Linked DNA regions of Callithrix jacchus. The protein of the gene in region 2 purifies or fractionates together with the protein of the main gene of each other region. This does not show direct contact. Links are inferred from orthologs where the notes say so. Each region holds a gene or a part of one and is shown on either strand. Other genes may lie near its edges. The genes, in order: MNAT1 and GTF2H4.

The links.
Region 1: the proteins of GTF2H4 (region 2) and MNAT1 purify together in Homo sapiens (co-immunoprecipitation; 3 studies listed by BioGRID and IntAct, with this or other methods). This does not show direct contact. The link is inferred for Callithrix jacchus from reciprocal best matches to the Homo sapiens genes GTF2H4 and MNAT1.

What each region holds. Positions count from the first base shown.
Region 1 is NC_133509.1:95,467,629-95,471,540, reverse strand, and holds the start of MNAT1 (CDK-activating kinase assembly factor MAT1), read right to left. Parts: upstream 2,472-3,912; 5' UTR 2,378-2,471; coding exon 2,289-2,377; intron 1-2,288.
Region 2 is NC_133505.1:35,701,932-35,705,843, reverse strand, and holds the start of GTF2H4 (general transcription factor IIH subunit 4), read right to left. Parts: upstream 2,453-3,912; 5' UTR 2,263-2,452; coding exon 2,251-2,262; exon of another isoform or gene 2,113-2,250; intron 1,643-2,112; coding exon 1,503-1,642; intron 1,244-1,502; coding exon 1,139-1,243; intron 756-1,138; coding exon 624-755; intron 26-623; coding exon 1-25. UniProt on the Homo sapiens protein: Component of the general transcription and DNA repair factor IIH (TFIIH) core complex, which is involved in general and transcription-coupled nucleotide excision repair (NER) of damaged DNA and, when complexed to CAK, in RNA transcription by RNA polymerase II.

The DNA.
Region 1 (3,912 bases), on a different chromosome or scaffold from region 2:
AGGCCAAATAAGACCTGTTTTAATTTTATTTCTGCTATCACCCATGCCACACACAAATAATATTAACAATAAAATAGCCAATATACAATAAACAAATACGTGACAGAAACTCTACTAAATATTTCTAAATATTTTACATATATTACTTAATACTTAAGGACCATGATACAGGCAGCGCTATTTTCTCTACTGTACAGACAAGAAGAATGACCAAAAAAGAGTTAGTCATTTGCCTAAGGCCACAGAGCCCGTAAGAGGGAAGAATGTGAAATCAGATAGACTGATTCCAAAGCTTGTTCTCTTAGCCAACATGCGACAGCCTTTTACTCATTTTGTTAACATTTCAAGTCAAAAAAGGACCGTAAAATGTGGCCTGTATCTAACAGGTTAGCAAATTAACCAGATTAAATTCAACACCAGAATCAATAAAAGTCTTAACTGTTAGACCTTAACAAAAAGGGCTGACTATACAACAAAAGCAATTTCAATTAAAATAAATATTTTATAATTGCCTAATTAAAATGCCATTTATGTTACTGAAATCGTATGCTCTTCCCTGACTGGCTAATTTCTGCTAGGCCAGAACATTACATTTAGCCTCCTTCTGGTAAATTACATTTAGTATCCTTCCCAAAAAAACAAACTCCCTTTCTTGTTCCACTGTAACAAACCTGATAAAGAAAAATGGAGAGAATTTGAAGGAAATCTCTCTCAAAACAGTCTATCTACAGTGTTTTCCATGTAGAATTCCCTTTTTTTTTTTTTTTTTTTGAGACGGAGTTTCACTCTTGTTCCCCAGGCTGGAGTGCAATGGTGCAATCTCGGCTCACTGCAACCTCCGCCTCCTGGGTTCAGGAAATTCTGCCTCAGCCTCCTGAGTAGCTGGGATTACTGGCACACACCACCGTGCCCAGCTAATTTTTTGTATTTTTAGTAGAGACGGGGTTTCACCATGTTGACCAGGATGGTCTCCATCTCTTGACCTCATGATCCACCCGCCTCAGCCTCCCAAAGTGCTGGGATTACAGGCGTGAGCCACCGCGCCCAGCCAGAATTCCCTTTTCTATGCATTCTGGATTACTTTTACCTTACTTCTAATCTTAAACCATTCAATCACAGCTCTACTATACTTCCTTTGCAGAGTAAAACAAGGAAACTAAAGATGAATTAGAAAAGGGAATCAATTAAGTAAGCTAATAAATCCCATATAATAATTATAACTACAGCTAATTATGCAATTTATGCTTACCTAAAGACCCTGTAATTGCTCTACATTTTTGTCAGCACTTGGGGTTTGGGGGGAGACCTTGTCTACCACACTGTAGATTATCCATTATTTCTTACTTCCAATAAACCTCAGAGAAACTACAGGAATATGTGCTCACCACTATATGGCACCTTTTATCCCAAATTGGTTTCTACAACCACCTTCACTAAACCGCATTGGACAAGAAATCTGGCAAGAAACACTTTGACCAATCCTTATTTCAAAACACACAAACTCAACCTCCCTCCTTCTACCCCCTTCCCCTGAAAATGGGCTTTCTAGTCAGACTTCCTGGTTCCAATTCTCTTAAGGCCCACTTAATAAAGGACCTTGAGCAGTCTTGATTTCCTTCCCTGTGAAATGGAAATACCAGTACCTACTTCATGGGATTGTTGTAGGAATGAAGCGAGATAATGCATGGTAAGACGCTTAGAACATTGCCTAGCACAAAATGTGCACTCAAATGCCAGCCATTGTTATATCTTCATAATTAACTGCCTGGAGTCCGGGTTTTCTTCATTTTAGTGATGAGAGTCTAACCGAACTCCATCAGGACAAGTGGATATACATACAGAGTTTTTTAATTAACTCATACAATAAATAGCAGCAGTATCTACTCAAGCAAATTTTAAGTTTTCGTGGCACTTTCGCACTTTTTCAATAAAAACATTTCATATGAAATAAACACTCCAATCCCCCACACTTTTAATCAGCGATGTTTGGAGCCCAGTAGACAAAACAAAGCCTGGGAATACAGTCGGGATACTCATTGGCTACGGAGGGAGAACCTGACAAACTGCTGGGTGCCACACCGAGAACCCTCAGTTCAAAGCAGGCCAGAGCGGCTCGGGGATAGAGGCTACAGTCCATTTCAAGTCACAACCCCTCCTTTTTCCATTTTCTTCCACAGTGTTGAAACTAACAACACCCTTTGCTCCCACCCAGACGAGGCCTAGCATCTCCAGGCCCTCTCCTATCCTACGCGTCTCTCCCCCAGGGAATCCACTGCCGCCCAACTCACAGAGTGTGTCCGCACACATTCACCATCAGCTTCAAGGAGGGGTTCCGATATTTGGTGGTCTTACACCGAGGGCAGCCCTGATCGTCCATGGCGCTTTCCCTGCTACCGACTCTCCTTGGCGCCTGCTTCAGCCACAGCCACCTACAAGCCCCCACAGATTCGACCAAGCAAGTTTCTACCAACAGGCGCTTGGCAGAGATGGTCCCTTCACGAAAGAGCACCGGCAAGGGGCAAGGCGCTGCAACACAAACGTTCCGGCAGTCAGTTCCCTGGTCTTGCAGCTAGGGCTTGGTCTCAGCCTTCCATAAAGAAGCTTAATACCTTGAACTTGAAAGGGAAACTTTTAAAATGGCAAATTATACACCAAGCCTTATCTCTACGCACCAATTTGCATTCTTCAAGGTACTGTGTAACAATTAAGAAGATAAATTCCATCTTGTTCTGCCTGAAAACATTTCCATGATTTCAAAGATTTATAAGCGATGTAAATACTTGATAATTCAGTATTTTCTTTTGGACCATTTGATAGCCTGTGCTTTATACTTCTTTATAATTCATAGTCATGTAAGCTCAGCTAATAATATGCATTCACAGATACAAAATTTGAAAAACCTAGCTTCTCCATTAGACAGTGTTTATTTCCCTGAATACCTAGGAAAAAAATAATATAAGAATACATACACAAAAATTTAGTTCAGCAATTCCAAGATCTGAGAGCCTGAATATCTTTGTAAATTGTAAACCATGTTCATCACATTTATCAAGAAGGCCAATTGAAGTCTGTGAACAGCTCTATTAAATAATGAACTTTCCCACTGCAAAGGACACATCTTATTCATCTCCAAAATAAAGATTTGTTGATACTTAATGTACAAGTAGACTAAATGAAGAATTAGTGAATGACTATCAAACAATAGTGTAATGTGAACATTTTTAGTGTCAAACATTTTTTGTAACCACCTTCGTCTGACCCAAACTCCATCAGAAGGGGAACATGCAGACAAGATTTTTCAAATAATCTGATACAATGAATATGAGCTATAAACATTTAAGTAATTTTAATTCATCATAGAACTTGGGTTCTTTTCAATAAAAACATAAAAGGAACATTCCAACTCACGTTTTTAAACAGTGAACTCAGTAGGCAACCCAAAACCCAAAAATACAGTTGGGATTTCCATGGAATATGGAGGGAGAAGCTGACAAACAGCTGGATACCACACCCAGGAACCAGCAGACCAAAGCAGGCTGTGACAGAGCTTTACATTAGTATGAAGACATCAGGGATTCATCTAATAAACTATATCATCTCTTTGGTCATAGTTTCATTCCTCAACAGGAATTAACCAAACATAAATTTACTAAAATAGGTAACACCAAATACTATGCTACTATGCTTGACCTGGAGGCTTATGACGCTGCTGCTATTGTCTTATTGAAAGACGACATCCAAATCAGTTACATGATTCAGAGTGAAGCTCTTCAAGAACAAAGGCAACTCTAGGGACTTTATATTTTAACAGAACAGGAAACTTCTAGTGATAGAATGAATATGTTATATGTGCAAATAAAATTTTTAGCCAATACTACATTGAGGTCATCCACTCAGATGGCATTATAGTTT
Region 2 (3,912 bases):
TGTGTCATCAGACCAGGCCTTCCCCCTAGAGCCAGGATGGGCCAAGAGTAAGGACCTCTGACCAGGCACGGTGGCTCACACCTGTAATCCATGTACTTTGGGAGGCCGAGGAGGCAGATCACTGAGGTCAGGAGTTCGAGACCAGCCTGGCCAACATGGTGAAGCCCCATCTCTACTAAAAATACAAAAAATTAGCCAGGCATGGTGGTGGGTGCCTGTAATCCCAGCTACTCAGGAGGCTGAGGCAGGAGAATATCTTGAACCCAGAAGGTGGAGATTGCAGTGAGCCAAGATTGTGACACTGCACTCCAGCCTGGGTGACAGAGCAAGACTCTATCTCAAAAAGAAACAAAACAAAACAAAAAAAGAGTAAGGAACTCTGTCTGTGTTCCTTGCTGTCCTTCTGCCATCTTTCCACCCTTATCCTCAGGGGCCATGACTGGGGGACATTGCCTACACAACACAGCTACATCTGGTCCAACTTATTCCTAAAGGAGCTCCCCAAGGTAGAGACCACAAGGTTCCAGGGAGGCCCCCATAAGCTCCCCCTCCCAAAGTTTAATAGCAGTTTAATTAGCAGCAGTTTCCCTTCCCTAGCTTAGGAAGAGATAGAAGTGACATACCCACCCAGAAGGGCAATGCGGAGGTTCTGACGGAAAATGGGGTTGAGGATAAGGCCCTGGAGCCCGCCTGGGAGCAGCTGGGTGTGCCAGATCCGGAGGCCACTCAGCAGCCCTGTACTTTCCTCCTGAGCCCTGGAATAGAAGCAAAGAGATGAGAGGGGGTGTCTGGAGAACAAAGAGAAGGCCCATAAAAGTTACCATTCCTGCCTGTTCTGAACTTGCTGATCTTTGAACTACTGTTTCACAGAGTGAAATCAGTATCTTAAGACAAATGCCTTTACTGCATTACCTATCAGAGCCTCATTGCTGATAACACACATAACTAAGAGGGAAGATACATTTGAAAACAAGAAGTCAGCTGGGAAATAAATAAAAGGGAAAACGCAGTATGCAGCATTTCCTAAATGTATTTATTTTTAAATTTTGTGATCTATTAATATTTCCTGGAAGTGCTCCAAGAAACAGCAGTTTGGGAAATGTTGCTGTTGAGAAATCTGTATCTGGCTGAGACTTACTTGCTGAATTCCTTCTTCACCCACAGGGCTACAGCAGCTTGTGGCAAAGGCTGCTCCAGAAAGAGCATCCGCATCACCCAGTTCTTAGCCAAGGATGGGAGCTCCCTGTATAGGGATAGAGGTCAAAGGTTAATTTCAGAAGCTGCACTGTATCTGCATCTCTGCCCTCAATTACCTCTCAAACATCTCATCTCACTCCACCACAGCTTTACCAGTCCTGCTATTTTGGCCTTCCACACTTTGGAGCAATTTTCAACCCTCACCCCCAGTCCCCACCCCCAATCCAGACTGCTATGCTTTTACTCATGATATTTATTTCCAATCTGCAGACCCCATTACATTTCCTTGCCATGGGGCTCCTCACCTGAAGACAGCCAGACAAGTGGCAGGGTGCCCATACAATCGGTCCAATACCCCAGGGCTCAGGCCCCCTAAGAATTCTTGTAAATTCCTGCATTGTAGGTGTACTCGGTTCAGTCCCCTTGAAGGGGTGCTCTCCATCACCTGAGGAATGCAAACGTCAGAGGCACACCCCCACCATCCATGCCAGTGTCACCCCTGACCTTTCTAACTCTGATTCCAGATCCATGAGCCCCCACAATAATCCCACCTTTTCTGTGGCTTACTTTCCCCTGTCACTTATCTCTAGTTTCTTCCAAATCTGACCAATCTCTCTCCGTTTCTGGTCTCCTCACCCTACTTCTGCCCTTCAACTCCAGTCTTCCCTCAATTACCAAGTGACAGACTTGCTAACTGTCCTATGTTTGCAAGATAATTTTGTATTCAATGACTTGTCTCATCTTTGGCTAAACAGGGACAAAGAAAATTGAGCCCACACCTCTCTCTTCCATCTCTCCTGGTCCAGATCAGTCAATAAGCTCCAAATCTGCCCGTCCTCCCTATCGTCTATCTCTTAGCCCACTTCTGCTATGACGATAACCTCTCCCCTTCACGCTTCCCAAATCTGAAGTCACCTCTTTTCCCTTCCCATTCACGCTGACCCACGCCTTCCGATCTCCTAGATTCTCCCTGCCTTCCTCCCACACCTCGCCTCTCACTCACCTCTCTCTCTCTCACAGCTATGCCACTCCCACCCTCCTAGGTCCCCTCACCACTCTGTCCATCCTCCTCGTGCACCCCGAGTCTCGGGCAGTCGCTTAATCGGAGCCAAAGTCTCTCATTGGCTCCCGGAGATTGAGGGAAAGATGGTTAAAAAAAAAAATGCCAGGGAAAGATGGGGAAAGCGACAAAAGATTTCACAGACAAGAGCCTAGAATGGAGAATTCAGAAGAGAAGGGAGGTAAGGGAAGGAGTGGAAGAGTGAAGAGGATGAGAATAGGCGCTGCACTCTCCCGGCGCGGGGTATGCTGGGAATTGGAGTCTTGTCTTTGCTCTCCTTGGAGCCGGCTGAAGCGCGTCTGACTACAAATCCCGAAAGGCACCGTTGGGAAGCCAAAAGGAGAGGAGCTGGCTTTTAATTTAGAGAGCGGGAGATACCAGAAGTCAGGCCAGTTGGTTCCGCGAAGGCAGAAGCAACTCCGCCCACGCTGCTAACGGCGCGTCTAACCGGCCTGAACAGGAGGCGGGTCCGGGGAAAATAGAAGTTCCTGGAGGGCTTCTTGGCGGAGGCGCGCCATGGCGACTTAGTGGTGAGCCGTTTAGGGGGTAGGGGCCACAAAACTGGATTCCGTGAGCACAATTACTCCCCGTAAAATTGAGATAATACACACTCCGGGACGGGCGCGGTGACTCACGCCTGTAATCCCAGCACTTTGGGAGGCCGAGACAGGCAAATCACCCGAGGTCAGGAGTTCGAGACCAGCCTTTACAACATTGTGAAAGTCTGTCTTTACTAAAAATACAAAAATTAGCCGGGTGTGGTGGCGGGCGCCTTTAATCCCAGCTACTCAGGAAGCTGAGGCAGGAGAATCGCTTGAACCTTAGAGGCGGAGGTTGCAGTGAGCCGAAATCGTGCCATTACACTCCAGTCTGGGCGACAAAAGCTAAAGTCAAAAAAAAAGAAGAAAGAAAGAAAGAAAAGAAAGAAAGAAAGAAAGAGAAAGAAAGAAAAAGAAAGAAAGAAAGAAAGAGAAAGAGAAGAAAGTATACACATTCTGGACGGTTTCCACAAGTTAACAACACCATCCAGTGCGCCTTACTTGGCCCTAAATACTCAATAATTCTTAATTTCTGCCTCTACCATGCCTAAAACCGTTTTCTTAGAAGACCCTGATAAATACAGTTTTTAAGACATCAGCTGTTTGCTCTGATTTGATTTATGAACCTGCTACAGAGAAAGACAGAGGTCTTCACCCAAAGCCAGAACTACACATTTCCCCAAATTTCTATAAGCAAATTCCATTATTCCCACTTTATAGACTGGAAGACCGGAGCCTGGCAAGATTAAGAATTGGCCTGCAGCCTGGTGAGGTGGCTCAGAGTCATGACTACTCAGCTACTCGGGAGGCTGAGGCGGGAGGATCACCTGAGACTAGGAGCTGGAGGCTACAGTGAGCTATGATTGCGCCAGCCTAGGCGACAGGGTGAGACCCCCATCTTTCTCTCACTCTCTCTCTCTCTCTCTGAAAAGGAGTCTCTCACTCTGTTGCCCAGGCTGGAATGCAGTGGCACAATCTGGGCTCAATGCAACCTCGGCCTCCAGGGTTCAAGCTATTCTCCTGCCTCAGCCTCCTGAGTAGCTGGGACTACAGGCATGCACCACCACACCCAGCTGATTTTTGTATTTTTAGTAGAGATGGGTTTTCACCATGTTG